Linked DNA regions of Stegostoma tigrinum. The protein of the gene in region 1 interacts with the protein of each later gene in a pairwise test. Links are inferred from orthologs where the notes say so. Each region holds a gene or a part of one and is shown in the gene's direction. Other genes may lie near its edges.

Region 1 (15,889 bases):
CCTGACTCCAATGATTTCTGAAAGATGAGCATGAACAAGTCCACAACCTCTTCAGCCCTCTCCTTCAGAACTCTGGGGGATTGTCCATCTGGTCCTGGTAATTTGTCCACCTTCAGGCCATTCAGCTTTTCTAGCACCTTCTCCTTGGTGATGGCCAACTTACTCACCTCTGCCCCCCAAATCTTTTGAATTTTTGGCATATCTCTACTAAGGTCCGTAACCATTTCAAAATGGCTGCAGATCCTCCAATCATCCGTATAGGCCTTTGGATTGTCTACAGCTACAAGGTGCAGTTATATAGCACCTTTGATGCGGTAAACATATCTACATGCTTCATGTACATTATCAAATGAAATATATCACTGAGCCACATTAGGAAGTATTAAGGTGACTGGAGCGTTTTAGCTTTTAAAGAGCATTTTAACTGTAGAGCGAAGCTTGCAGAATGGTTTAGGGAGAGAGTTCCAGAGTTTTTAGATTAGATTACCTACAATGTAGAAACAGGCCCTTCGGCCCAACAAGTCCACACTGCCCCCTGAAGCATCCCACCCAGACCCATCCCCCTATAACCCACATACCCCTGAACACTATGGGCAATTTAGCATGGCCGGTCCACCTAACCTGCACATCTTTGGGCTGTGGGAGGAAACTGGAGCACCCAGAGGAAACCCACACAGACACAGGGAGAATGTGCAAACTCCACACAGACAGTTGCCCGAGGCTGGAATCGAACCCGGGTCCCTGGCTGCAGTGCTAACCACATAGCTGCTGTGGTGTGGCAACTGAAACTGAGGCATCTCAAGAAACAAGAATTTAAGGATGCAGAGATCATGGAAAAGTAAGGGACTGGGGGAGGAGGTGCGGGAGTGGGGAGCATGAAATATTTTGGAGTGATTTTGCAAGAGGACAAGAATGTTTAAATTGTGGCTTTCTGGCTTTCATCTCACAAGCATTGGGTCCTGACAACTGTTACAGTCTCAGCAAGAAGCAACTGCAAAGTTTCACAAAAGGGAAACAATGGTGTATTGGAGTTATTACCAGACCATTAATGTTCCAGGTAATGTTCCAGGTTTGAATCCCACCATGGCAGATGATGGAGTTTGAATTCAATTTTTAAGATAAGCCAGAATTAAGAGTCTAACGATGACCATAAAACCATTGTCAATTGTTGGAAAACCCCATTTGGTTCATTACTGTCCTTCAGGGATGGAAACTGCTGGCCTTACTTAGTCTGGTCTACGTGAGATGCAATAGGTACAATGTTCTTGAAGCTGTGTGGACAAGACTGCATGGACCTAAGATTGGTGTGGATGCAATAGGTTTCGGTGTGTGAGGTACTGGCACAGGAAGGGGTCTTTGGTGCGATGGGCTGGGACCAATGACCTTTCAAATCTAATACAAAAGTCTTTAAAGACGGCTTTAAACTAATTAATGAGTTTGAGAGACGGGATACGTGGGCTCACAAAGTAAGAGAATATGATAGCATTACACAGCAGCTATTTGGATACTGACACCCAGAGAGAGATTGAAAGGCACAGAGTTTACAAATATCGAAAAACCACAGCAAATAGGGTCACAAGGGGTAAAATGGTAAGAAATGTCAAAATTAATCGCTCTCTATTTGGGTGCATGCAGTATTTGGAACAAAATCAGTGAATTAATAGTACAAACACAGGTTAATGGATATGGTATCATAGCCATGATGGATACTTGGTTGCAAGGTGATCAAAGCAAGGAACTAAATAATCAGGTGTTTGTGAGAGTCAGAAAGGAAGGGCTGGTGAGGTTGCTTTGTTGGTAGGGATGGAATAAGTATAATAAGTAGCAAGAAATAATCATGGATTTGAAGTTATAGGTTGAGTTAGGAGATAAAAAGGGAAAGAAGATGCTAGTAGGAGTAATCTATAGGGCCCCTAACAGTAGCTAAATGGTGAGGCAGAGACTAAATGAGGACATAATGGGAACGAGCTATATTCCAGTGAGGAAGAAGATCTCGAGGAAGGGGATTAACCATGCATGGCTTAAGCAGGGAAGTTAAGGACACTATTGAACTGAAATAGAAAGGATATAATGCTGCTGAGATTCATGGTAAGTCAGAGGATTTGAGAACGTTTTATACATCAATAGAAGATGACAAAAAATAATAAAGAGGGAAGAAATAAACTTTGGGGTAAACTTGGAAGTAATATCAAGATGGAGAGAAAGAGCTTCTTTAAATATGTAAAAGGGAAGAGAGAAGCCAGACAAGAGAAAACAACAACAGAGAACCAGGAAATGGTAGGAATTGAATAAAATACTTTGCATTCATAGTCAAAGATACTAATAGCAGTCCAAAATTACCAAAAATCAAGGAACAAAATGAAATAAGTACAATAACTATCACTATCAAAAAGATGTATGGGGGAAATTACTGAAGCTAAAGACTGATAAAGTCACTCATTTATCTGATGGGATCTGATGGGGTGCACGCTGGGAGTTTAGAGGAAGTAGTCACAGGCATTGTGGATGCATTGTTTGTAATCTTGCAAGAATCCTTAGGTTCTGGTGAAGTCCCATGAGATTGGAAAACTGCCAATGTAACAATTTTATTTAAAAAGGGAGGGGACTAAAGAAAGGTAACTATAGGCCAGTTAGCTTAACATCAATTATGGGGAAAATGTTAGTGTCTATTAGAAAGAATATAATAGCAGAGCATTTAGAAAAATATGATGTGATCAAGTAGAATCAGCATGGCTTCATGAAGGGAACATCATGTCTGATAAATTTACTGGAAAGTTTTGAGAAAGTAACAAGCAAGATAGATAAAAGGGAAACAATAGACATGATATATTTGCATTTTCAGAAAGCAACTAGTGTTGGGGAGAGTACATTAGCATGAACAGGGGTTTGGTTAATTTACAGAGAACAGAGAGCTGGGATGAGGGGATCATCTTCAGGATGGCAACCTCTACCTAGTGGAGTGCCAGTAGGATCAGTATTGGAGTCACAGTTATTTACATTCTTCATTAATGACTTGGATGAGGAAAATAAACATACTGTAGCCGAGCGTGCAGATGAGAAGAATAGGTAGGAAGGCAAGTGGTGAGGGTGATATAAAGCGTCTGCAGAGGGATAGAAACAGGCAAAGAGAAAATGCAAAAATTTGGCAGATGGAATATCCAGAATGCCCTCATCCGTGTTGGTTATCACATCCCCCAATACCCCTAGCTACTGCATTGCATGGGTACGCCCTGCACAGCCAACACAATTTCATCTATTCACCATACCTAATATTTGTTGCTCTCTTACTTATTATCAGTTATATCATTGTTTGCCAATCTCTTTTTACTTTCTCTGCATTTCTCTGAGCTCTGCTTTCATGTACTCTACTCAACACCCACACCCCACCCTGTCATTAGCATAAATACCCTCTTTCCCAGCTGTATTCAGTTATGATGAAGGGTCACTGGACTTGAAATATTAACTCTGTGTTCTCTCCACAGTTGCTGCCAGAATTACTGTGTTACGGCTGCAGTCACTGTTTTTGTATGAGGTTATGACTCTACCACTCCAAGACCATAAGATGTAAGAGCAGAAGTAGGCCATTCAACTCAACGATAAGAGATAATGGGAACTGCAGATGCTGGAGAATCTGGAAGCTGGATGAACACAGCAGGCCCAACAGCATCTCAGGAGCACAAAAGCTGATAATTCAGGCCTAGTCCCCTCATCAGAGAAGGAGGAGGGGGAGAGAGTTCTGAAATAAATAGGGAGAGAGGAGGAGGCAAATTGCGGATGGATAGAGGAGAAGATAGTTGGAGAGGAGACAGACAAGTTAAAGGGGCGGGGATGGAGCCAGTAAAGGTGAGTGTAGGTGGGGAGGTAGGGAGGGGATAGGTCAGTCCAGGGAGAAGGGATAGGTCAAGGGGGCGGGATGAGGTTCGTAGTGAGGAGATGGGGGTGCGGCTTGAGGTGGGAGGAGGGGATAGGTGAGAGGAAGAACAGGTTAGGGAGGCGGGGATGAGCTGGGCTGGTTTTATCAATGTGGATTTCACAAGCTTCAAAATGGGCCTCCCCCCACTGCATCCCAAAATACAATAATATACAATAAATGATATACAATAACCCAGCCTCAATAGAAAATTCCACAGATTCAAAACCCCTGAGAGATGGACAGAATTTTAATCAATAAGGGAAAGAAAAGTTATGGAGAAAAGGCAGGAAAATTGAATTGTGGATTAATCGACCAGCCATGAGCTTATTGGATGACAGAATAGGCTTATTGGGCTGAATGGCCTCCTTCTGCTCTTGCATCTTATGTTCTAAACTTTCCTTTACAGATAACAGTCTAAGTACCTCTTGAAAAGCTTGATTGAACCTGCCTCCACCACACTTTCATTACCAGTGCATTCCAGACCCTAATTACTTGTTAAGTGAAACTCTTTTAGTCTCAGTTCACTTTTACTTCTTTTGCCAAATGCCTTAAGTCTGTGGCCTCTCGATCTTTTCATGAGTGGGAATAGTGTGTCATTATCTGCAGGGAGAGGAAACAACAGCTTTCCAGATCCAGGTCACATTTTGGATTTTTATATATTCATTCTTGGATGCGGATGTTATTGGCGGGGCCAACATTTATCTCCTTCCAAAGGGTCACTAATATTTACAATTCTCCTTCCAGGAGGCTGAGTCATTGAATACATTCAAGACAGAGATTAGATCAACAAAAGAGTCAACACATATGAGCAGCAGGCAAGAAAGGAGTGTTGAGACCAATCAGGTTAGCAATGATGCAATTGAATAGTACAGGAGGCTTGACGGGCTGAATGGCCTCCTCCTGGCCTTATTTTTGATGCTCACATGCCCTTGATCTGAGTGCCTTGCTCAGTCTGTACCAAGGTCAGTTGCAAGTCAGCTACATTGCTGTGGGTCTGGAGTCACAAGTAGCCTAGACCAGGTAAGGATGGCAGATTTCCTTCTCTAAAGGACATTAGTGAACCAGATGGAGTTTTTGAAACAATAATTTGGCAGATTCATGATCAGTCGAAATCACCTTAGAATTTTATTGATGATGAATTTATGAATTCCATTGAAATGCCTCCAGCTGCCAGGTGGCATTTGAATGCTTGTCTCCTGGGTATTAGTGCAGGTGCCTGGATTCTGAAGCAGATTCAGGTCTGCCAGTTCTGAAGGGTCACAGGACCTGAAACGTTAACTCTGCTTTCTGTCTCCATTGATGCTGCCAGACTGGCTGAGTTTCTCCAGCAATTTCTGGTTTTGTCGCAGACTTCCACTGTTCACAGTTCATTATTTGACAATAAATCTGGGTTATTGGTGTTAGCTCACACCACCACCAGCCACTCTCCCTCCCAAGTGCCTCACACCACCTCTTCTTTTGCTCAACGTTGAGTTAACTGTGGTGTTTGATTGAAGGAAAGTGTGATAGCAACATCTGACAGAAAATGTTATATTTTTGATGGGCAACCATTGTTGAAATGGTCAAAACATGGCGCGACTTTGCATGAAGCAAGGTCTCACAAGCAATAAGGTGGGAAAGGCCCAATTTTCTGGCTGGAACGATATGATTTGAGGATAAATGCCAGGCCACCTAGGGGCTTCTCCTTTGACGAAGTGGCCTATGAAAGTTTTTAGAATCCACCTAAGGAATCAATCAGGTCCTCAATTTAAATGTTTACCCGAATGCAGGCACTTCCAACATTGCAGGATGGCCCTTAGGCTGCAGCCCATGTCTTAGGAGTGGGTCTCAAACCTATAACCATCTAGCACAGAGCTGAGCGTGTCACAAAAGGCCACTGCAAATTTTTGTAGACGTTGGATGGCACAGTGGCTGAGGTTAGCAGTGCTGCCTTACAGTGCTAGAGGCCTGGGTTCAATCCTAGCCTCAGGCAACTATCTGTATGGAGCCCAAGCTTGTGCAGTTTAGGTGGATTGGCTTTGCCATAGTGCCCAGGAATGAGTGAGTTAAGTAGATTAGCCAAGGGCAATAGGGTAGGGGGTGTGCGTCTGGGTGGGATGCTCTTTGGAGAGTCAGTGTGGACTTGTTTGGCCAAATGGCCTATCCCACACTGTAGGGGCTAAACTAAATACAAAATGCTGGAGAGTTTAAACATGAACTGTTAAGCGCAAGTGAAACTTGGCAGGTCTGGCAATGTCTGTGGAGAGAGAAACAAAGTTCGCATTTTGCCTCTAGCGTAACTTCTTCCGAGGAGAGGGATTTTGAAACATTAACTATGTCTCTCTCATCAAACGTGCTGTCAGCCTTTTAATGGAGTAGATGTGGTAATGTCACTGGGCTAGTGATCTCAGCACCTACATATTGGTTCAAATTCCAGATAGTGGAATTGAAATTTAGTCGGAATCTGCAATATCAGAAGCTCGTCTAATTATGACCATGTAACTTCTGTTGAATTGTTGATTTAAAACAAATCTGATCCACCAATACCCTTTAGAAAAGGAAATCTGTTATTCTAATCTGGTCTGACCTGCTTGTGATTCCGTGGGGTTGATTCTTCACTGCACTTAGGATAATAAATACTGGCCTAATCAATAACTCCCATGAATGAAAGTAAAAGCACATTAACTGTGAAAACAACACACAATTTATAAAACATGCAGTTTCAGGCAATTTTCTCCAAGTCATAACAGCAGAAACAAAATTCTACCAATTTTCAGAACTAAAGTACCGCAGCTGTTGAAAACCTGAAATGTAAACAGCAAGTACTGGAGAAACTCAGCATGTCTGGCAACATCAGTGGAGAGAAAAACAGAGTTTAAGTTTTGTAATGTAACCCCTTTTCCCTTTGTAAATTAAGTTTTATCACTGTTAATTACTGGACCTGAAACACTAACTCTGCGTTCTCTCCACAGATGCTGCCAGGCCAACTGCATTTCTCCAGCAGTTCCTGTCTTTGTTTTTTATTCCCAGCACCTGCATTGGATTTTTCAGCGGGTTTATTTTAACAATTGACAATAGTTACATCGTCTCTCCTAGACTAGTTTCTCTTTGTCCCAGACCTATCAGTAAAACTGCAAGATTACGAACTGGGGTTGTAGCCTTGGAGATGCTGCCTGATCCATTGTGTTTCCAGAAGGTTCTGTTGGTACTTCTCCTTATTTGCCCTGTTTAATGTTGTTTTGCACAGTTTCACTTGCACAGACCGTAATCTTATTGCTGTTGGAAAAGCTCAGCAGGTCTGGCAGCATCTGTGAAGGAGAAAACAGAGTTGACGTTTCCGGTCTGGTGACCCTTCCTCATAACCCTTCCTCAGGTGACTGGACCCCGAAACGTTAACTCTGTTTTCACCTCCACAGATGCTGCCAGACCTGCTGAGCTTTTCCAGCAACTTTGTTTTTGTTCCTGATTTACAGCATCCACAGTTGTTTTGGTTTTTATCTTATTGCTGTTTGTGGGAGCTTGCTGTGCGTCTAAATGGTTCCCTATGTGACAAACAGGGTAACACAAAAGCAACATACCCGCATCTTGCCATGAAGAGGCTTTTGAAAGTCCTGAGGTCATAGAATTTTACAGTACACAAAGAGGCCATTCAACCCATTGAGTGAGTACAGGCTCCCAAAAGATCTACCCAGCTAATCCCATTCTCCAGCTTTGTTGCTGTAGCCCTCTAAATTCGTCACTTTCAGATATATATCCAGCTCCTTTTTGAAACCTCCCATGGAATCGACCTCCACCACTCTCCCGGTTAGCACATTCCAAATCCCAACAACTCTCTGAGTAAAGAAGTTTCTCCTCATCTCTCTCCTAGCTGTCTTGCTGACAATCTTGAAATTGTGACCCCTAGTTACTGATCTACCAACTAGTGAAAACAGGTTATCCCCCTTTACCCTGTCAAAATTGTTCATAATTTTGAAAACCTCAATAAGGTCACCTCTCTGCACCAAGGAGGATAAGCTCAATCTCTCTACTCTTTATGAAAACAAGAATTGGAGTGGGTTAGGCAGTATCCGTGGAAAGAAAACAAGCTCCTTTGTTATTGGCTTTCAGCTCAGCACTCAGCATCTGCAATAATTTGCTCCTTCTCTAATCTTCCCTTTGATTCCAAAATTACTCATTCCAGTAAGTCTCCATTCCACTCTCTCCGGGGCTTCAACATCCTTCCTTCAGTAAAACGCCGGGAATTAAACACTCCGGCGTGTGGCCGCGACAGGCGCTATGCAAACGCAAATGCTTCCTGGCGCTGGAAACTGGAGAGGGCGAAGGGAGAAACACAAAGGGTCGTAAGAAAGACGAATTAAGGGGGTGGGGGGAGAAGTCAGAGAGAAGGGACCGGGGTGGTGTGTGAGCAGGACGAAAAATGTTGGTGAGAGAATATGCTGGCGAGGGTTTGCAATGTCAGCGGAGCTATGAGGTTGAGTAAATACTGTAAGCTCTACGCTCTGTGGGGCAGTCTGAATCCCAGAGTTTGCTCGTGTTGAGTGGTGGAGCTTTTAGCCTGTACTGTGTCGTGTGTGTGTGTGTGTGTGTTTTTCTAGATGTCTTCAATTGGGAGGTGCCGAGGCATTAGGTCGGCCTGGACTGCCTCATTCTCTGTTATAGCTTGACCGGAGAAGGTTTGTGTTTTGTGGGTGAGAGACAGAACCTCTTCAGAATTATTATTTGCCCCAATCTTCCAGCATTAATTTCACTCTTGATCATCATTAAGCCTTTGCTTTGATCTGTCCCCCTGCGTTTTTTTTCTTTCATTTTTAACACAAAATGTTGGATCGCGGGGCGCTCCAGGAGATACATTTTGCAACCCACGTTACTTTGTATTCCTGAAGCCGGCCTTTGAATCCAGTGTCTGTCGGTGGTGAGGTGCGGAGTGGGGAGGGGGGGGGGGGGGGTGTTAGTGGGAAGGGTTGTTTGTGAGGGTGTGGGGAGGGGGTCTTGGGACGGCGGGCGGTGGAGGGGAAGGATTGGTCGCTGATCCTGAATTAAACAAGGCAACAGCAACAACAAGCTGAGACATTTCCTTTGTAACCATTTGCAAAAAAAAAGAAAACTGCAGCGTTTCCTGATTTCTGGCTGGGATTCCCGGAGGTGCTGTGTAACCAAATAAAAAAAGGGGGAGATCAGGTAAGAGGACCAATCATTTATTTAAAACGTATTCTGGATCTGTTTGTATGTCATTTATTTTTTGAGGAAAAAAAAGACGCAGAGGATGGGTTGGATCGCGGGCCAAGTTAATTTCCGACTGGTGAAATTGACTTGGACTGCTGTTCTCACTTTCCCCAATCCCAGGGTATTTCTGTTTGGCGATCTCCAGTGCTGTCTGTACATTTCCGCCTCCTTCTTCATGCAAACCCTCCATCCGCAGAGAGGCCGTCAATACAAAGCATCTACCTTCATCACAATTAACCCACTGACATTTGGAGGGGAAATCAGTGAGCCTTTGTTGATTTGGAACCACTTATCATGCGCTTGTTTTTTTTTAAAAAAGCATTGTGTTGTTCAAGAATTAATATCGCTATTCTTTAGCCGGTTTGTGTTGTGTATGTGTGTGTCTCTGTGTATTTATATACCACATTTTGATATTTGGGCCTCTCAGCATTGTTTTTTCCAGCCTTTGACTTGTACTGACTGGGAGTTGCTAGCGTTTCGGTTATATCTTTTTTTTTAAACAATAAAGAATTTATTAATGCCCATTTTGAAAGAGCTGGTGTTAGCAATTTGTAAACTGGACTGTTTCGAACCGACTGCTCTGAAGTTGTTTCAATGTGGTCAGTGGTCAATGCACAGAGTCTACAGGGCGAATCATTTGAATTATATTAGCCACAAGCTATTGATTCAGTGTGTGGTTAATTTAATGTTTATATATCTATATAAAATCTGTATTTAATGGCCTTCAGTTGCTGAGATTTTGGTTTCTGTATATTCTCCTCTGACCCCCACTCACTTTCTATTCTGTTTTATCCCATTCCCAGTAACACTGAACCCTCTCCCTCCAGCCCCCTGTCCTTGAAAGGATTCTCTTCCACCCAATTCTGAGAGGTACCTATTGTGATTCCTGACCATTGTCAGCCTGTGGTTCAGTGCACTGTGGATGGCACCATTACGTCCTCATGTCCTCAGTGGAAGAGCTCCCCCCCCTCCCCGGACACCTTTCTTTTCCTTCTTGACTGTTCAAAGGCTTTCTCAAGTCAACATCCACTTGCATTCGTATGGTGCCTTAAGCCTCGTAAAATGCTGCAAGGCATTTCGAAGGAGACTGTCGAGGCAGGCACGTGCTTGGACACTGAAGCGATGGCACATCGCAGGATGCCAGGGGTGAGGACCGAAAGCTCGGTCAAGGATATAGATGTGTTGAACAAGGACGGGGAGAAACGTGGTGAGGCTCAGGAGGCAATTTCCACAGCTTGTGCACCATACCACCAAAAACACAGCCACCAAGCAAGTGTGAGGTGCCCAAGAGGCCAGAATAGCAAGTAGGCAGATTTCCCGAAGAATCACAGAAGTAGGAGAAGAGCAAGGCCAGGGAGGATTTGAAGATGAGGATGAGAACATTCAGATTAAGGTGTTGCTGAGAAGTGTTTTCTTATTAACTTTGGATGTAACTGTGGATTAGTCTTCTCATTTGTTTTGGCTGTGCGTGGTGTCTTTAAGGTTGACTTCGTGCCTCTGTAATCAATTGGGTCGCTGTAAACTTGACCATGTGTGTATGTGTGCACGTGCACATGCATACACACACACACACACACACACACACACACACACACAGAGTGTTACTGGAGTATGATCAAGAACAGGAAACTCCGCCAACTCTGAATCTGACTATAGTCCCAGTTAAGGTGAGCTAGTATGCTAAATACATAGAACTTAATTTTAAATTTTGAATTTCCCTGCTGTATATGGGTCCTTTAGTCTTCTGAAATATTGGAGTAATGTTTATTATCCCTACAGTATTTGCACTGCACAAAGTATTGTCACGATGAAACAGAAAGGATCCTTTTTATTTCATCACGCATGTTGCTGACAGGACAGGTATTTGTTACCCATCCCGAGGTTCCAAGGGAATGTGTTGTTAAGTTGACCTCATGAAGATTTAATGACACCAAGTATCTTGTCAGAAAACAAGACGGAGCTGTAGAGAATTATCAGGTGTGTCCAGAGCCACATTTAGGCCTGGCCCTTGTGAGATTGACCGTGTAAGTGAACATGAATATGGTCTTAATACAAACTTGACAGCTCCATGGTTGTTTTACTAGTGCTAGTTTGTTATTTTCAGATTTCTTTTAAAAAGAAGTCAATTTAGTTACAATGATGAGAGTGAGTTTGCTATCTCTGGGTGAAATTTAATTTTGTTCTCTCTGGACTATTAGTCTGACAACAAAACTATTGTACTGTGTGTATGTTAAGCTGTGTATTGTGCTCAGTATCTTTGTGGTGAGTGATTTATTTTGCACAGTAACTGAAGTTCCTTTACTCATTCCCAAAATAAGAGCATCGCTGAATAGGCAGCATTTATTGCCCATCCCTAATTGCCCAGAGGGCAGTTAAGAGCCACCCACATTGCTGTGGGTCTGGAGTCACATGTAGGCTAGACCAGGTAAGGATGGCAGTCTCAGGATTAATAGGCCATCAATAATACCAGTTAGTCATTGCCTTCCCCCATGTTTAATGTAGCTGTGGTGGCCCTATATGGCTGTCTGTCGAGAATGTTCTGGAACTGGTCTTGCTGCCCCTGGACTAGAAAAGGGGGAAAACTCCATCAGGTTTCCTGCTACCTAGCGCTGCATGCTAGGAAGTTGACCAGAGATGGGGTTGGTTGCTGTAATTATGCTTCCCAGTTCATTGCCTCCCTGCAGTCTGTGACCACTGGGGGCAAGTATCTACAGGGCATCATTAGACCATGGGTCCTGTCCCTACCTCTTGGCCAGAAGCTTTGGGTTTTCTCCCTTTGAGGAATAAGGAAGATGCACTCATAACACTGCCCAATCGGTTGAGCGGCATCCTGCGAATCCCCCCGGCATATACCAATGGCAGGCTGCCTTCGAGTCCTATAGTACAGAAACAGATCCTTCGGTCCAACTAGTCCATACCGCCCTTAATCCCAAACTAAACTAGTCCCACCTGCCTGCGCTTGGCCCATATCCCCCCAAACCTTGCCTCAGGATGGGATACATTGCTGGATAGCCATGTGATGGAGTCAAAAAAAATGATGGAGACTCTGTCATCAGTGTCCATAGCTCCAGCCCACATCATTTATGTACAAGTGTCGTAGCAACTGTAAATCTTTAGGGGTGGGAGGAAGTGACGGTGCAGTTATAACACAGTGTGGAGCTGGGGGAGCACAGCAGGTCAGACAGCATCAGAAGAACAGGAAAGTTGATGTTTTCGGTTGGGACACCACCTCTGAGTTAGTTATAACCCGACTGCGATGCCTAACTTTCCTGCTCCTCAGATGCTGCCTGGCCTGCTGTGTTCCTCCAGCTCCACACTGTGTTAGCTCTGACTCCAGCATCTGCAGTTCTTACTGTGTCTAATGGTGCAGTTAGCTGGCTGGCTGCTATGGATCTGATTGATGCCAACCCAATTGGATTCACTCCCTATCCTGGGTTTGGGAATTTTGAAACTGACTCTCTTGGAATGAAGGGAACAATAAGGGAGGTATTTAAGCAGAATTTCAGGATTTCTGGAAACACTTCAGAGCATGTGTTTGAAGTGCAGAGACTGTGCTGCAGTGTAGGAAATATGGCTGTGTGCACAGCAGGCTCCCACGAACAGCAATGATGAGATTATCTTATTTCAGTGTAGATTGATGTATAAGTGATGACTTACCCCAGCTCCTCTTTAAGATTTTGCCAGAGGACCATCTAACCCCTAGTCATGGGCCAGATAAGGTTTAAAATCAACACAGCACACAGCATCTCTGGCAGAACAGCGCTCTGTCTGGGCTGCAAGGCAGAGTCAGGTCTTCCTGTGGGACTCAAAGCCACAACCCCGTGTGAGTCCAAGTTGGAAAATGTCCTCGAAATAAAACCCGAATAAACTGCTGATGCTGTAAATAAGAAACAAAAACAGAAACTACTAGAAAAGCTCGACCTGTCGAGCAGAACTGAGGAAGGGTCAGTCGACCCGAAAAGTCAGCTCTGATTTCTCTCTTTCGATGCCGTCAGACCTGATGAGCTTTCATAGCAATTTTGGTTTTTGTTATAGGAAGTGCCCTGGCCCTTGAGCCATTGCTGAAATCACGAAGAATGGACCGGAGTCCACAGGATTGATCACGATTTGGGTGTTACAAGTGAAATGAAAGGAGTTACGACACTTGCAAAACAAAGTGTTTGGCAAGTGTATTTACTTTCTTTCCCTGTTATATTGATATTAGCATGGACTCTGCTCCTCTGCACTTTCCTCTTGTATGCTTTCTGAGCTTTTGTGTACAGCATCCCTCTTGATCCCTGCCTGGACCAGCACCAGTCACACCATCAACTCCTCTGTCTCGGTCTATCCTTGCCCTTTAGATCTTTGGGACTCCTCATCTTCCCTCTTACTTACAATCCAAGGATCACATAACGTGTTGTTGAGATGTCTGGAATGACTGTGTCATCTGTTGAGGATAAGTTAGACACCCTGGTCTTGTTTCCATGGGGGTTTAGAAATGAGAGAGGTGATTTGATTGAAGTGGACAAAATTCTGAGCAGTCTTGACAAAGTAGACAAGGTGAAAGGTATGTTTTCTTTTGTGGGTCACTCCAGAACTAAGGGGACAGCCTTTGAGAAGAGAGATGAAAAGAAAGGACTGTAAGAAAATGGGTAATCTGCCATGGGTGTCTAAGGAAATAAGGGAGTCTATCAAATTGAAGGAGAAGACATACACAGTGGCCAAAAACAGCATGAAACCAGAAGATTGGGAAAACTTTAAAGGTCAACAGAAAGCCACAAAAGGAGCTATAAAAAAAAGCGAGATGGAACATGAGAAAAAACTAGCACAGAATATGAAGACAGATAGCAAAAGTTTCTATAAATATATAAAATGAAAAAGAGTGGCCAAAGTAAACGTTGGCTCTTTAGAGGATGAGAAGGGGAATTTAGTTGTGGGATATGATGAAATGGCCGAGGTATTTTGTATCGGTCTTCACAGTGGAGGACACTAATGACATGCCAGTAATTGACAAAGAAACAAAGGTAGGTCAGGACCCAGAAACAATCATTATTACGGAAGAGGTAGTGTTGGGCAAGCTAATGGAGCTAAGGGTTGATAAGTCTCCTGGCCCTGATGGAATGCATCCCAGGGTAATAAAAGAGATGGCGGGAGAAATAGGTGCACTGGCGGTAATTTTCCAAAATTCGCCAGTGCGCCTGCTGCAGTCCCAGCAGATTGGAAAACAGCAAATGTGCCGCCACTGTTTATAAAGGGAGGTAGACAAAAGATAGGGAACTATAGACCGGTTAGCTTAACCTGTGCAGTGGGAAGGATGCTTGAATCTATTATCAAGGAAGAAATAGCAAGGCATCTAGATAGAAATTGTCCCATTGGGCAGACACAGCATGGGCTCATGAAGGGCAGATCATGCTTGACAAATCCTTTGAAATTCTATGCAGACATTACGAGCAACGTGGACAATGGGGACCCAGTGGATGCGGTGTACCTAGATTTCCAAAAGGCCTTCGACAAGGAGCCACACAAGAGGCTGCTGCATAAGATAAGGATGCATGGTGTTAGAGGTAAAGTATTAGCATGGATAGAGGATTGGTTGACTAACAGGAAGCAAAGAGTGGGCATAAATGAGGGCTATTCTGGCTGGCAATCAGTGACTAGTGGTGTGCCTCAGGGATCTGTGTTGGGACCACAGTTATTCACAATTTATGCAGATGATTTGGAGTTGGCGACCACGTGTAAGGTGTCAAAGTTTGCAGATGACACTAAGATGAGTGGCAGAGCAATGTGTGCAGAGGACTGTGAAACTTTGCAGAGGAACATAGATACATTGAATGAGTAGGCAAAGGTCTGGTAGATGGAATACAGTGTAAATAAATGTGAAGTCCTACATTTTGGGCGGAGTAATAGTAAAAAGGATTATTACTTGAATGGTAAAAAGTTGCAGCATGCTGCTATGCAGAGGGACCTGGGCGTCCTTGTGCATGAATCACAGAGGTTGGTCTGCAGGTACAACAATTAGGAAAGCAAATGGAATTTTATCCTTCAATGCTAAAGGATTGAGTTTAAAAGAGGTTATGTTGCAGCTGTACGAGGTGCTGGTGAGGCCACACCTGGAGTACTGTGTGCAGTTTTGGCCTCCTTACTTGAGGAAGGATGTACTGGCACTGGAGGGGGTGCAGAGGAGGTTCACTAGGTTGATTCCGGAGTTGAGGGCATTTGCTTATGAGGAGAGACTGAGTAGATTGGGATTATATTCATTGGAATTCCGAAGATTGAGAGGGGATCTTAGAGAAACATATAAAATTATGAAGGGAATAGATAAGATAAAAGTAGAGAGGATGTTCCCACTGGCGGGTGAAGCTAGGACAAGAGGGCATAGCCTCAAGATTAGAGGGAGCAGATTTAGGACTGAATTGAGAAGGAACATTTTTACTCAGAGGCTTGTTAATCTGTGGAATTCCTTGCCCAGTGAAGTAGTTGACGCTACATCAGTAAATGTTTTTAAAGCTAAGGTAGATTTTTTTTTGAACAATAAAGGAATTAAGGGATACGGTGAGAACGCGGGAATGTGGATCTGAATCCACAAAAAGATCAGCCATGATCTTATTGAATGGCACAGCAGGCTCGAAGGGCCAAACGGCCGACTCCTGCTCCTAGTTCTTATGTTCTTATGTTCTTATGTTTATTTCTCTGTCAGAGTATTGTGTGACTTTGGAACTCTTTGCTTCCAAAGGCAGTGGAGATGTGATCAGTGAATATCTTCCAGGTGGATTTGGACAGCTTCATGTTAGGCAG
Region 2 (15,545 bases), on another chromosome or scaffold:
AGAAGCCAGCAAGAGAAGCTCGGTCAAATAGAATAAAGGTAGGTGAGGACGGGAATGGCAGTGCGGCCTCACACAAGTGCTCACTGAATTGACAAGACCTAGAACATGAGAACTTGCATATGTACAATGGAAACACCTTCCAAGGAGGTTTGGAGCCAGTGAGACAATTCAAGGCAACGTACGAAAGTTTGGGCCAAATGAATTCCTCTCTAACACAAAAATAGAAATTGCTGGAGCAACTCAGCTGGTCTGGCAGCACCTGCAGACAGAAAGCAGAGTTACAGTTTTGAGTCCAGTGATCCTTCTTCCATATTGACAATAACTAGTGGTAAATTTGCTGAAGATGATTGTCGTGTGAAGAGAGAAAGAAGTAAGTGATAGGTGGAGTCGGAGAGAAAACAGCAGTTGGACAGACTGGCAGCACAGTGGCTGTGTATGGGATGGATGCTCTTCAGAAAGATGATGGACTGAATAGCCTCCATCTGCACTGTAGGGATTCTACGATTTAAACAAATGATGAGCACGGACATAGAAAAGCTGTGACAAAAACACAAATTGCTGCAAAAGCTCAGGAGGTCTGGAAGCATCTATGGAGAGAAATCAGAGTTACCATTTGGGTCAAGTGACCCTTCCTCAGGTAGAAAAATTATTAATGGACCATTAGTGGGTGAAAATGGGTTAGCTGTGATGAAAGCAACCCATGAGATGACAGGGCCAAGGGTGCGGGAGTGAGTAAAAGACATGGGAAGAGGTGTTAACACAGTATGGAGCTGGAAGAATACAGCAGCCCAGGCAGCAGCAGAGGAGCAGGAAAGTAGAGGTTTCGGATCAGGACTCTTCTTCAGAAATGGGGAGGGGGAAGGGAGCTCATAAATAAATAGAGGAGGGGTAGGACTGGGGAAGGTAGGCGAGATAGTGATAGGTGAGTGCAGGTAAGGAGTAGTGGAGATTGGTCAGTGGGATGGGAGGGATGGATAGATGGGAGAGAAGGTGGACAGGTTGTGTCAGGTCAAGGAGGCCGGGATGAGAGGGAGGGTTGGACATGGGTGAGGCGATGTTAAAACTGGTGAATTCCATGTTTAGGCCATTGAGCTGTAGGCTCCCGAGGCAGAATATGAAGCGCTGCTCCTCCAGTTTGCGGGTGGCATCATTGTGACACTGGAGGAGGCCCAGGATGGACATGCTGCCCAGGGAGTTAAAATGATTGGCAACCAGAAGGTGTTGTCATTTTTCGCATACAGAGCACACGTGCTCTACAAAATGGTCTCCCAGTCCACGCTTGGTCTCACCGATGTACAGGAGGCCACATTGGGAGCAGCTGTTACAGTTGAACAAGTTGACAGATGTGCAGGTGAACCCATGCTCAATATGGAAGAGATAGTAGGACCTGCAGATGCTGGAGAATCTGAGATAACAAGGTGTAGAGCTGGATGAACACAGCAGGCCAAGCAGCATCAGAGGAGCAGGAAAGCTGACGTTTCAGGTCTATACCCTTCTTCAGAAATGGGGGAGGGGAAGGGGGTTCTGAAATAAGTAGGGAGAGACAGGGAGGCGGATACAGGAGAAGATAGGTGGAGAGGAGACAGCCAGTAAAGGTGAGTGTAGGTGAGGAGTTAGGGAGGGGATAGGTCAGTCCAGCGAGGATGGACAGGTCAAGGGGGTGAGATGAGGCTAGTAGATAGGAGATGGGGGTGGGGCTTGAGGTGGGAGTAGGATACAGGCAGGAGGAAGGACAGGTTAGGCAGGTGTGGACAAGCTGGGCTGGTTTTAGGGATGTGGTAGGAGGAAGGGAGATTTTGCAGCTTGTGAAGTCTGCATTAATACCATTGGGCTGCAGGGTTCCCAAGGAAAATATGGGGTGCTGTTCCTGCAACCTTCGGATGGCATCGTTGTGGCACTGCAGGAGGCCGTGATGGACATGTCGTCTAAGGAAGTGGGGGGGGGGGGTTGTTGAAATGGTTTGTGACTGGGAGGTGCAGTTGTTTATTGCAAACCGAGTGGAGGTGTTTCACAAAGCGGTCCCCAAGCTCCGACTTGGTTTCCCCAATGTAGAGGAGGTTACACTGGGAACACTGAATACAATATGCCACATTGACGGATGTGCAGGTGAACCTCTGCTTGATGTGGGAAGTCTTCCTGGGGCCTGGGATGAGGGTGGGTGGTGGGGGGAGGTGGCACTTCCTGCAGTTGCAGGGAAAGGTCCTGGGGGGTGGTAGGGTTAGTGCGGAATGTGGAGCGGATGAGGGAGCTGTGGAGAGAGCAGTGCCTAGGGAAGGCAGACAGGGGTGGGGAGGGAAATATCTCTTTGGTTGTGGGGTCAGATTGTAGGAGGCGGAGGTGGTCAGGATCTAAAATTATTTAACTCAATATTGGACCCAGCGAGCTGCAGGCCCCCGGCGGATAACGAGGCTCAGTTTTTCCAGCTTGTACCGGAGCAGCGCAGGAAGCCTGCACAGAGATGTTGGCCAGAGCCTCTTGTCTCAACCTGCGGCTCGCTGTTTTTCAGACTGAAAACGTAAATATGCTGAGGATCGCTGTTGGGTCAAGGCAGCATCCATTGAGCGAGAGAGCAAGCTAACGTTTCAAGTCTAAATGACTCAGTTCAATGCGTGGGCCGGGCCGGTCAGGTCAGCACAGGCCCGATCAGGTCCGGACCAGGCCGTTGCTAAGTCGCCCCCCACCCCCGCTACCCCGTTGCTATGGGTTCGAAGCGGGAGGTGAGGGCGATGGCCGGATCTGAAAGCCCGGGCCTCCCAATGGGCCGGTGGTAGCAGTGATGGCGATGGGAAGCGGCTGGTAGTTGAAAGGGCCCCTTCTTTCTCCCACTGTCAGTCACTCACCTGGCGCTCGCCTGCCAGTCCAGGCCGCGGACTCGGCTCTGGCCCCATTGTCGCCCTGGCAACTAGACGCCACCTCCGATTGGTCCAGGGCACACACCTTGTTATTGGCCACCCGACCTCCGCGATGGCGATTGGTCGCCAGTGGCAGAGGCTTCCCTATTATTGGCTGTTAACAGTCAGCCCTCCTCCTATTGGTTCGGAGCAGAGCTCCGGCGCACAGTTTGGTTGGTGATCGCGTGATTCGATTGGCTGCTATAATCTTTATTTCTAATTGGCTCTTCCGCGATGGGCGAGGCATGATCCTCGTTGACTGTTTTTTTAAATTCTAATTTTATTTCAGATTTCGAACCACGAGGTGTTTCTGTGATTTTGGAAGGATTTTTATTTCGATTGCTTCCCCTTCTAACTTTTGACAGTGTACCGCCACTGGAAACCATGGTAACAGATGGTACCCGTGACGTCAGAGCAAGATGGCAGCGCCCACGAAGCCGGACGGAGGCCTGGGCCTGCCTTGGGACCAGGCCCCGGTCTTTATTTACTCCGAGGAAGACCTGATCTGGAACGGGGTCCAACGGGGTGGCTCGGGCTCCCGCTTCGACGCGGCTCTGCTGTCGGCCTGGGAGGAGCGGTTGTCCAGCGGCTGCTTCCGTTACCGCCTGCCGCGCCGGGGACCCCCCACCCGCGTCCTGCCGGGGCCCCGGGGCCTGGTAGCGCAGCTCAACCCCGAGCGGGCCCGTGAGCGGCGGCCACCGCAGGAGATCCTCAGCGTCCGGCAGCCCTTCGATCCGCAGCGGTTCAACTTCACCCGCATCCCGGCCCGGGAGGTGCTGTTCCGCCTCCGGAAGCGGGATCTTGGAGAGGCTGGGGATGAGGCCGAGGCCTTGTTGGTCATCAATGTCAGCCCCTTGGAGTGGGGTCACGTCCTGCTTCTGCCTGAACCGGCCCGTCGCCTGCCGCAGATCCTCACCCAGGGCTCAGTGCTGAGGGCTCTGGAGCTTCTCTTCCTGAGCTCGGATCCCAGCTTCCGCGTCGGCTTCAACAGCCTGGGCGCCGAGGCCTCTGTCAACCATCTCCACCTGCACGGCTACTACCTGGACCAGCGCCTGGAGATAGAGTGGGCAACCACCCGTCCTCTACTGGAGCCCGGGGCCCCAGCCTCGGCCCGTTTTCTCCCTGTCCATCTGCTGTCCGAGCACCCGGCCGGCGGCTTGGTCCTCTACACAGACTGCGGTGATGGAGGCCTGGCCCGGGCTGCCCTCACTCTCCATGCCCTGACCGGCCTCTTCATCCGCCGTTCCCTGGCCCACAACCTCTTTCTGACCCGGGGATGCCCGCTCGGCACTCCGCCACCTGGCCAAACCTCCTCCTCTTTGGAGCATGACGGCGCCCGGATCATCCTCTGGCCACGCCGCAGCTGTTTCGGGGCCAAGGATCCTACGGCCTTCACCGTGGCTCTGTGTGAACTAGCTGGCCACTGGCCCCTCAAAACCCCGCAGGAGTACAGCAGCCTGACCGAGGAGGAGGCGCTGGGAATGGTCCGCAGACACGCACTACCCGAGAAGGAATACTCCCAGCTCCTCTTAGAGATAACCCAACTCCTCCAGGATAATCACCAAGAGGAGCAATAGGCCATTCAACCCCTGAAATCTGCTCCTAACCCCAAAGATGTGGTTAAAGCCTCAACTGCCATTTGCCAAATTTCTCTCTTTGTCACAGTCGTATTGTGTCTGCCTCTAGTATTCCAGAGACCTGATGTTCTGGGGACATGGAAGCGAATTCCACTTAAGCAAATTTACATTCAATTTAAAAATTCTGAAAGAAATAGAATAGACTGATAACAACCAGACAACCATTGTTAATTGTTTTAAAACCCCACTTGATTCACACTTATCCTTTAGGGAAGGAATCTCAGCCGTCCTTGCCTCATCTAGCCTCCACTTGACTCTCGATCCACACGATGTGGTTAACTGTTAATTGTCTGTGCACAAGATATCCACCCTCCAGGAATAAGTACATTTCTGCATCAATGCAGTAAAAGCAGAGCTAATCCAGCTGCTGCTATTAACCCCCATCATTTCACCTGTTCTCGTCTGTATGTATTCTCTACTACCATTAACACTCTCTTTGCCTTTGTTTTGTGGCAGCTTTCCCATCTGTTCCACTTGCCCTTCCACCTGCCCCCAAAGAGCATATAAAATCATATCAGGCTTGAAAGTGAACTCTTTCCCTTCTACAGATATTTCCAACACATTTTATTTAAAATATTAAATTGCTCCATACCTCCACCACTCTGTGGCAAGAGATTTCCATGAACCCATAATTGAAAAAAAAAGTTCTCCTGATCCATGACTTGAATGAGAGACCTCTAATCTTTAAACTGCATTCCCTGGTCTTTCCTTTAAGGGGGAAACTTCCTCACAACATTCACCATCTCAAGTCCCCTTGAGACGTTTGTGTGTTTCGGTAAAACTTGAGAGTCTGAAATGACCAATTCCTTGCTACTCGCAAGATGCTGCTCATTCTTCATAACCCCAACGGATATGGGTCCAAATTGACGTCGTAAGTTGCTTCAAGTCAGAAAAGACTTGTGAACTTTTCTGAACTGCTTGTGTATTGATATCCTTTCTTAAATAAAGAGTACTTTATCTACACAGTGTTGTAGATGTGGTCTCACCAATGCCCTGTTGACCATCACAGAATCCAGTATTCCTTTTTGATTTCTTAAGTACTCATTACAATTCCTTTGTGCTGGTAAGCTAAATAGCAAAACTGATGCTGGATGTTCACATGTGCACAACTTACGTTTATCTTTAATTTATATGTATTATACTTGAGTTCAGGAATGGAATGTGCCACTTTCTTAAATGTTTACCAAGACAGAAGCTTGCTGTTAGGGGGTTTTGATCTGTGTGGTGATTTCTTTTGGCAAAGACATGCATGCGGACACCCTATGACAGCTAGCTGAGCTCAGCACAGCAATGACACTACTCTCCCATTGATGAGCAGCCTTGTGATACACTTGAAACTCCAGCTTGAGTGGTCAATGAAGCACAGTCAGAAACTGGGAAATGAATCCCATTATAAATTGATATCTTCAGAGGGCAAGGAATGGAATTCTGTATTTGAGGCCATGATCAGTCTGCTCCCTGTGTAACACCTTTGTCAGACTCAAAACCTATTTCACTATTGAGAAACATTTGGATTTGGAGAACTCTGCTTTTCCAAAGAGACATCAACATTGGAAAAGTACATGAGTGTTGAAAAGAATAGGCAGTTAAATGAGTTTGGGTAAATGGCTCCAGTGGTATTGACGGCCACAAGTACTGACATTTCAAAGAAATATTGATTGAAGATGACGACGAAAACGTTTTGGAACTTACACTGCCTCTGTGAAATTATGATGTGCAAGCTGAAGAATTGACCACTGTTTTCAGAAGCAATTAATCATTCTTCCTAACTTCTGGAGAGCTCGGGGAGCTCTATGTCAGCCTCCTTCCTTTTATAAAAGGGACTGAGCAACTGTATATTTCATTAAATCAGCAATTTCTGTTTGGTGTTTGTTAGATAAAGTTCATGTAATGTGGACACAGCAATGATGGATGATTAGAATAAAAATTCCCAGGTGAAGGCGTTCAAATATGGGATACATTACACAAGTGGGGCCTTTAAAGAAAGACTGACATTTCAATGGAGCCTTCTACCATATTAGGATATTGTAAAGTATTTTACAGCCAATTTGAATACTTTTGAAATGTGTGGGCATTGTTATAATGATAGAAGCACAGCTGCTTATTTGCACACAAAGTGCCCAGAAACAGCTGGATCATGTGTGTTTGTGATGTTTGAGTATTAAATACTGTCATGGTTCCTCGGGTGAACTTCTCTTGTTCCAGTAGTGACTGCAGAAAGAACAGACAGAATTTTGATTTAAACTGTAATCCAAAAAGGGCAAGGTGTCTACAAAAACTTTAAAGTGAAACTGGATTAAGACTTGAAACATGTTAAATCAAAATGTATGGAATAGGTTGAACTGGATATGTCTAATTGCACTTCTATGTATATAAAATAACTTGCATGAATTGGTGCCTCTACTTCATTGCAATATCTTATTAAATATCATTTATAAAAACAAGTGAATCATATATATTCAATAACAGGAGGAAAATTACAAGACCATGGATCAGGTAAAGAATTATAGTTGGCGGTAACTGAATACAGCTATCAGTGTGATGGTCTGCTTACCAAGTGCTGCTAGTTAACTGTACGGTGAAACCTATCCAAGTAACATGCAGCACCCTGTTTAGGCAGCCGAACAGATCGCTTTTATCCTGCCCTCGGCCAAGGCCTCTGTTGCCCCTCGTGGCATCATCATGGAATTGACTGAGACTTAATGCATATGGTTTACCCCTTTTATTGATGATTTCTTTACAGCTCATCTCACTCTCGTACTCCCACCCTTGTTCAGTGCTTCGGTGAATGCTGTTGCTTACATCTCGATTTATGTATTGTTATGGTCCCATCAGGTGGCAATACTGGACAAGTCAGATGCCAGACTATAATGTGGCTGAAAATCCTTTCAGTTTATTGCATTGGTCACTGTGGTACTTAGGCACTTAAATGTATTCACATGAGGCTGCAGATGTTCTTTCGTAGCTGACCATCAGTTTATTACACAAAAGATTTAACACCATCAACAAAACAAAGTTACAAATTATTTTCCACCAGTATCCTTTTAAAGATGCTCAATTCCAGAGAATTTTCTTTTTAGCTCTTTATATTTTTACATTACGGACTCTTCCCAGTGTCTTTTCCCTGGACTGCAGAGACAACTTTGTGACTACTTTCTGAATCTACTGGCATGAACCTTCCTCAATTCTGACAGCCTGTACATGTTCAGTTCTAACAACTTGAAGATTTTTACTCAAACCCTTGTGGCTTTGAAGCTGCACAACTGAAACATTTTCAGCTCTTGTAAAATGAAAGCTTGATTGCTTTTTCCAGGAGAAACTGTTTTCCCTTCTGAATTGAACTTTGATGTTTCCAAATTGAAACCTTGAACTTCTGTTCTGATGTCAATACTAAATTAAAACAAATTGCAAGAGAAACTTGGCAGGCATAGACAGAGTGTCTGTGGACAGAAAGCAGAGTTAACACCCTAGTCCAGTCACTCATCTTCAGAACATTAAATCTACATTCTCTCTTCAGATGCTGCTAGACCTGCTGCGTTTATCCATCAATTTTATTTTGATACTAAACTAATTGGTTTCTGGTCTGTTGTAACTCAGTAATACAAATATTCCATGCATTATTGATTGATTGATTGTCACATGTACCTAAATACAGTGAAAAGCTTTGTTTACGAGCAGTACAGGGAGATCATAGCAAGGATGTACAGATCAAAGGTTGTAAAAAGATTTAGAGGCATACAGGTTACATTGCACAGGGTATGTGCAAGGCCAGATCAACATTAGCAACATCAGTGTTATTTGACGCTAGAGAGTCTGTTCATCAGTCAAATAACAGACAGGAAGAAGCTGTCACTGAACATGCTGGTGCGTGTGTTCAATCTCCTGTATCTTCTGCCTGACAGAAGAGGTTGTAGGAGATCATTACCAGGCCACGATAGGTCTTTGATGATGTTGGCAGTCTTTCCATGGAAGTGAGCCATGTAAATGGAGTCCATGGATGGAAGATTGGCTTCCGTGATGGTCTGGACAGTGCACACCACCTTCTGTAGTTTCTTACAGCCCTGGGTAGAGCAGTTGCCGTACCAGCCTGTTATACACCTGGACAGTTTGCTTTCAATGGGGCACCTGTAGGAGTTGGTGAGGGACCTTATGGACATGACAAATTTCCTGAGCCGCCTGAAGAAGTAGAGATGTTGTGCAGGGGTTGACTGCACTGAAATGCTTTCTTAGAATTGATGCATTTAGGTCACTGTTTAGAAAGCACTTTCTGACCCATTTTATTTAAGAAAAACTTCACAGAACTGACCTGTATCATCTGCATCTATTTTAAAATTCGCAAAATATGTGCATTATATACTTTTCATCTCAACATGCGTTTATATATTCAAAATGTTGCACAGGTTCTGAATTTCCTGTACACAAATAGTCAGGTTTAGGCCAATTTTGGCTTAGACCATAAGACATAGGAGTGGAAGTAAGGCCATTCGACCCATCGAGTCCACTCCGCCATTTAATCATGCCTGATGGGCATTTCTACTTCACTTCCCTACACTCTCCCCGTAGCCCTTGATTCCTTGTGAGATCAAGAATTTATCAATCTCTGAAGGCTTGTCTGCCTTAGCTCTCTCCCGTTAAAAATTGTCAGAATTTCCAATTCTAGCTGCAGTAACTCGGGCCCGAGCATTTAAATAGCCCCCTGATCGCGTTGTTTCCCTCTAAACGGCGCCACTTTAATTTTTCTTTTGTTCCTGTTGAAATATGTAACTTTTCACATCAGGTTTTGATCGTTGCCTGGCCGGATTGAGAAACGCGTCAAACAGGAGCAGATTCGATGGGCCGAATGGCCTAACTCTGTCCTTGTGTAACTACAACAGCAGGCGGCTCTGCGGAGCCCCTTTCTGCAGTTTGTCCCCAACTTCCGCGTTAACTTGTTGTTCTCAGGTCTGTAAACTTTTTGAACTCTTTCTGCTGTCGAAGTGTCGAAGGTTTTGTTTTCCGTTTGGGTGCTTCTCGTTCTCTGGCGAGCCCCGCCCGAGCCACTGCTCCCCGGCTCCCTCCGGCTTCCCCGGAGCCGATCGGAGCGACGCGGCGCGGCGCTGGAGGGAACCGAGCAGCTAACCCCGGGGATTCCGGGCAAAGCAGCTGCCTCAAGACAGAGCGGGGCAAGTCAGGGACGAGTGACGGAGCAGAGTTTTTAAAAGTAACTATTTATTTAGTGCTTTGATATTCCTGTAAAGTTTGTTTTGGGTGTCTGGGGCTGGGGGAGGAGAGAGACTTTTTTTTTGGGGGGGGGTGAGGTAGAGAAGATTTCGCTGAGAGACCCATAGAGAAACTCGGTGGCTGCATCCCCGTCTGCTCGGCGCCAGCTTCTCCTGCTCCCCCTGCCCCCCCCTGCCCAACTCTGCATTTCCTACCTGAACCACCCCGGAGGGATTTGACACATAGGGGGAGGCCATTCTGCCCTTCGAGCCTGCTCCGCCATTTACCACGATCATGGCTGATGGTCCAACTCAATAGCCTAATCCTGCTTTCTCCCAACAACTTTTGATCCCATTCACCCTAAGTGCTATATCTAGTCGCCTCTTGAATACAGATAATGTTTTGACATCAACTACTTCCTGTGATAATGAATTCCACAGACTCTCCACTCTTTGGGTGAAGAAATGTCTCCTCATTTCCATCTTAAGTGGCCTACCCTGAAACCTCGCACTGTGATCCCTGGTTTTGGACACACCCGGCATCCGGGACATTCTGCATCTACCCTGTCTAGACTTGTTAGAATTTTATAAGCCTCTACGAAAGCCCCCTGCTCGTTTGTCTGAACTCCAGCGAAAACAACCCTAACCTTGACACTCTCTCCTGCTACATCAGACCTGCCATTCCTGGACTCAGCTGGTAAACCTTCCCTGCACTCCCTCGAGAGCAAGAGCATCCTTCCTCAGAGAAGGAGACCACAACAAGTACTCAAAACCTCTCGCAATGAAGGCCTTCCTTATCACCTGCTGCACCTGCATGCTTACCTACAGCGATAGTAGGAACTGCAGACGCTGGAGAATCTGAGATAACAAGGTGCAGAGCTGGGTGAACACAGCAGGCCAAGCAGCATCAGAGGAGCAGGAAGGCTGATGTTTCAGGTCTAGACGCTTCAGAAAAACTTGGTCTCTCCAGAAGGCAGACAAGGGTGGGGATGGAAAAATGTCTTTGGTGGTGGGGTCGGATTGCAGTTGGTGGAAGTGTCGGAGGATGATGCGTTGTGTTCGGAGGTTGGTGGGGTGGTATGTGAGGACTAGGGGGATTGTCTTTTGGCGGTCATTGCGGGGAGCGGGTGTGAGGGATGAGTTGCGGGAAATGTGGGAGACATGGTCGAGGGCGTTCTCGACCATTGTGGGACAGGGTGGGTAGTTGCGGTCCTTGAAGGATGACCACATCTGGGATGTACAGGAGTGGAATGCCTCATCCTGGGTGCAGATGTGGTGGAGGCGGAGGAACTGGGAGTAGGGGATGGAATTTTTGCAGGAAGGTGGGTGGGAGGAGGTGTATTCTAGGTAGCTGTGGGAGTCAGTGGGCTTGAAATGGTGTTGGTTTCACCCAGGTCCCGCTGCACACTCCCCTCTCCCAGTTTACAACCAGTCGGGTAGTAAGCTGCCTTCTTGTTTTTGCTTCCAAAGTGCATAACCACATATTTATCCAAATTATCCTGCATCTGCCATTGATTTGCCGATTCACCCAAGCTGCCCAGATCATGCTGAAGGATCTCGGCATCCTTTTCCATTTCATCCTCCCACCCAACCTGGTATCATCCGAAAATATTGAAATGTTACATTTTGTTTCCTCATCCAAATCATTAATATTTATTGTGAATAGCTGGGGTCTCAGCATTGATCCTTGTGGCACTCCAATAGTTACTGCCAACCAAATTGAAAAGGACCCATCAATTCCGAATCTTTGTTTCTTCTCTGCCAACCAGTTTTCTGTCCACCTCAATTTCTCTTCTCCCAATCCCATGCACTTTAATCTTGCACAATAATTTCTTATGTGTACTTTGTCAAGAAAGATTGTGTATTTTCTTTGAAAGAGAGCAGACTTTCTCTGTTTCTCAATTTCTCCCTAAACCATTCTTCTACCCCCCCCACCCAAATCCTTTCTCTCTCTCTCTCTCTCTCTCTCTCTCTCTCTCTGATTCCACCCAAATCCTTCCCTTTCTCTCTTTCTTCTCCAATTACTCCCTCTCTCCAAGTCTCTTCCTCTCTGTCTTCCCTCTCCCCAATACCAATGAGGGAATCTGTGAACAGAGAAAATTTTGTCTGATGAGACACATTCTAATACTTAATGCTAGATGTCGTCCAGAGAGCATTCACAAGGCTAATCCTTGGGAAGAAACAGTTTGCCTTTGAAAGATTGGGCCTTGTCAGAATTACTGAGGGATGTTATCGTCAAAGGTCTACACAGCGGAGATGCTGAGAAGGTAATTCTCGCTTCTGTCCTGAAATGGCGACCCCTAATTTTAAAACGGGGTTCTCAAGTTCTGGACTGATGCACACAAGAAAATTCTTTCCATGCCCACCTTGTCAAGACCATTCAGTCATTTGACCAAGTCACTCCTCACTCTACTAAACTCCAACGGGAACAAGCCCAGCCTGTCCAACCCTTCCTCATGAGAAAACCCACTCATTTCAGTTATCAATCTTGTAAATCTCCTCTAACACATTTACATCCTTAAATAAGGAGACAAAAGTGCAACCAATATTCAAGAACCAATATTCTCACCAATGTCCTATATAACTAAAGCGTAATGTCCTTATTTTTACATTCAGTTCCACTTATATTAGGGAACACAAAGCTAATTGCCTTCTTGATTACATGTTGTATCTGCCACTACCCTTTTGTGACTCATGCACCAAAACACCTAAATCTCTCTGCATCTCTCAGTTCAGCATTCTCTGCTTAAATAGTGTTCTGCTTTTGGCAGAAGAGTAAAATAGTGAGCAACTTCTTTCCCGACCTGTCAAGGTTTTTACACATTCACTCAACCTATCTATATCCACCTGCAACTTCCTTATGTTTTCACAATATACCTTCCTACCGATCTAGACTAATATCTGGAATGGGCAGGTGTCTTACAAGGGAAGTTTGGTCATGCTGGGCGTGTATCCATTGGAGATTAGAAGAGTAAGAGGCACCTTGATTGAAACATATAAGATCCCTTTATATAGGGGTCTTAACAGTGTGCATATAGAATGGGTGCCTCTAATGGGAGAATCCAGAACTTTAAATTACTGTTTAAAAATACATATCGGAGTTGGAGATGAGGCACTCTTTCTTCCTCTGAGGGCCATGACTCTAATGAATACCCTTCCACAGAAGTTGCCGAATCAGAATCTTTTTGATACTTGTAAGACAGAGATGGATAGATTCGCAAGAAATCACAGAATGAATCAGGGGCTAAGTAGATACGTGGATAATCAGATAAGCCATGATCTTATTGAATGGTTAAAGGGGCTGAGTGGTCAACTCCTAACTTGTACATTTTTCTTATGTTCTTTTTTCTTAACCTGAGTCTTTCAGGGAATAGGATTTATAACTCAGACTCAGTATTAATATTATAACTTCTTGCCAATGGCATTAGTGCAAAGGAAATATAGGAGTTGAAAATGAAATCATTGTCATAGATACTATGATCTCCATTCTGGTTTTGCTGAACTAGTCACCCAGGAAGCCCGATGCATGATGAAACACTGATAGAGACTTCGGATTTGAATGTGGTTAGTGATAGTTTAGTAAAATTATTTTATTGACTTTGTTCCCAAGCGTCGTAGATCTTGTTAGTGATCAAGAGAATTTTGCAAGAGTTAAGTGGATGACTGCTGAGATTTCATCCCCAGTGTTCAATAAGCAGCTATAATTTGCATAGAGAGACACTAAGCAGAACTGAGAGCAGGTCAACATTTGTTTGTTTATTCTTTTACAAGGCTTCCACAGTGCAGAGAAAGTCTGCATCATCTTCATGTATGCAGCATTAATAAATAGCTGCTTGCATTTCATCATTAGTGAAATGGAAAAAGTGTGAGCTTTTAAAGGAGGAAGGTTACCAGATTCATAAGTCAGTACTGATGGGAATTTTAGACTGAATTTACAACCAAGGACTGGTGAGAGCTTTCATTCTATAATTTTAATGGTAGTTCAAAATGAATAAACTCAGTTTAATTCTGGTGAGAGTTTGGTGCCAGGAGCTCACAGCTCAGTTATACAGAGGCTTGGCAGTCCAGCAAATCCTTGTAATGTATTTGGAATCAAGTGCGTGGGCCATAATCGGTCAAGACAAGCAAAGACGGATTGGGTTTCTGTAGTGCCTTTCATGATGACAGGAAGTGCTTTTCAAAGAGTCATAGTGTAGGAAACAGAGCAGCCAAAGTGGACACAGCAAGCTCCCACAAACAGCAATCTGGTCATTATCAGATCATTTATTTGTGTGATGTTGATTGGGTGGCACTGTGGCTCAGTGGTTAGCACTGCTGCCTCACAGTGCCAGGGACCCAGGTTCAATTCCACCCTCGTGCAATTATGCAAACTTCACACAGACGTTCACCCCGTGCCTGCGTGGGTTTTCTCCGGGTGCTTCAGTTTCCACCCACAGTCCAAAGATGTGCAGGTTAGTTGGATTGGCCATGCTAAATTGACCAAGCACCTGAAGGCTAGATGGGTTTGCCATGGAAAATACAGGGTTACAAGGGTAGAGTAGAGGGGTGGGTCTAGGTGGGATACTGTTCAGAGGGTTTGTGTGGACTTGATGGGTCGAATAGCTGCTTCCACATTGTAGGGATTCTAAGATTAGGGGAATAAATTTTGCCTAGGACACTAGGGAGAACTCTCATCTCCATCTTCAAACTAATACTGTGGAATCTTATATATCTGCCTGAGAAAGTGGACGAGATTAACCTATCCAAAGATGCAACCCCTCAGTACTGCAAAGAATGGTCAGTCTAGAGGTTTGTGCCCATATAAATGACATTAATGGAAGTGACGGGAAGGCCTCTGAGTATAGGAGTCAAACCAATCGAAGCAGGACATGATCAATTATAGTTAGTTTATTTGAGGTTTTCCAGTTGGAATGTAAGCAGGGCAGATTGAAAACCAAAACAAGATGAATGGTAATGGCTGGATCAGTCCTATAACATGTAACGGGTGAAAGTAGCGAACAGTCATTAAAGGCACAACACAGCTGCAGGAGTAGGAAAGGAAAGAGCGATTAATACATTCCTTGCTGCTGCAGTGAGATCTGGAACAAACAGAAAGCTGATATGGAAATAACTGTCTCTGTAAACCGTGTTTGCAGCGGGCCCAGCAATGAGGAACAATTTAAGATGCTACGAAAAGGGGTGAGAATTGCGGTCTGAGAGACAAATCAGGATTGATAAAATTGTTTAAACGATGGCAAAAGGTTCATGCCAGGAATTGAGTTAAAAGTAATGCATATGGTCAAGGTGGAGATTTTTACTGGTTTCTGCATGAGTCCATTATTACATTTCTTTAAATTCAAAGGTAGCAATTGTCTTTCTTGAAGGTGAACCCTTCTGAACAGAATTTTTAAAAGTTCTGTTTTAAGAAGTTTTTTGGAATGTGGGCGTCTCTCACAAAGCCAATATTCTCTTGAACTGAATGACTTGATAGTCCTTTTCAGAAAAAAACAGTTAAGAGTCAATTCCAAGCAGAGGCTTGGGGATCGCTTTGTGGAACACCTACACTTCGTTGGCAACAAACAACTCCACCATTCCAACTCCCCCTCCCACTCCTTGGACGACCAGGGCCTCCTGCCGTGCCACAACGATGCCACCCAAAAGCTGCAGGAACAGCATCTCATATTTTGCTTGGGAACCCTGCAGCCCAAGGGTACCAGTGTGGACTTCACAAGCTTCAAAATCTCCCCGCCCTCGACCACATCCCAAAACCAGCCCAGCTTGTCCCTGCCTCCCTAACCTGTCCTCTTACCTCAAGCGCCACTCTCAAATCCTACCCACTA

Evidence for each region.
Region 2: the proteins of nuclear receptor-interacting protein 1-like (region 1) and calcium and integrin-binding protein 1-like interact in a two-hybrid assay, tested with the Homo sapiens proteins (2 studies listed by BioGRID and IntAct). The link is inferred for Stegostoma tigrinum from reciprocal best matches to the Homo sapiens genes NRIP1 and CIB1.

Annotation. Positions count from the first base shown.
Region 1 is NC_081365.1:8,050,763-8,066,651, reverse strand, and holds the start of nuclear receptor-interacting protein 1-like, read left to right. Parts: upstream 1-8,278; 5' UTR 8,279-8,315; intron 8,316-8,323; exon of another isoform or gene 8,324-8,565; intron 8,566-8,897; exon of another isoform or gene 8,898-8,992; 5' UTR 8,993-9,070; intron 9,071-9,317; exon of another isoform or gene 9,318-9,378; intron 9,379-13,150; exon of another isoform or gene 13,151-13,280; intron 13,281-14,594; exon of another isoform or gene 14,595-14,658; intron 14,659-15,889. UniProt on the Homo sapiens protein: Modulates transcriptional activation by steroid receptors such as NR3C1, NR3C2 and ESR1. Also modulates transcriptional repression by nuclear hormone receptors.
Region 2 is NC_081389.1:22,354,987-22,370,531, forward strand, and holds the start of calcium and integrin-binding protein 1-like, read left to right. Parts: upstream 1-9,388; 5' UTR 9,389-9,469; intron 9,470-9,475; exon of another isoform or gene 9,476-9,728; intron 9,729-15,545. Other genes in the region: tubulin polyglutamylase ttll6-like, read right to left, coding at 2,841-2,888; gdpgp1 (GDP-D-glucose phosphorylase 1), read left to right, coding at 3,311-4,468. UniProt on the Homo sapiens protein: Calcium-binding protein that plays a role in the regulation of numerous cellular processes, such as cell differentiation, cell division, cell proliferation, cell migration, thrombosis, angiogenesis, cardiac hypertrophy and apoptosis.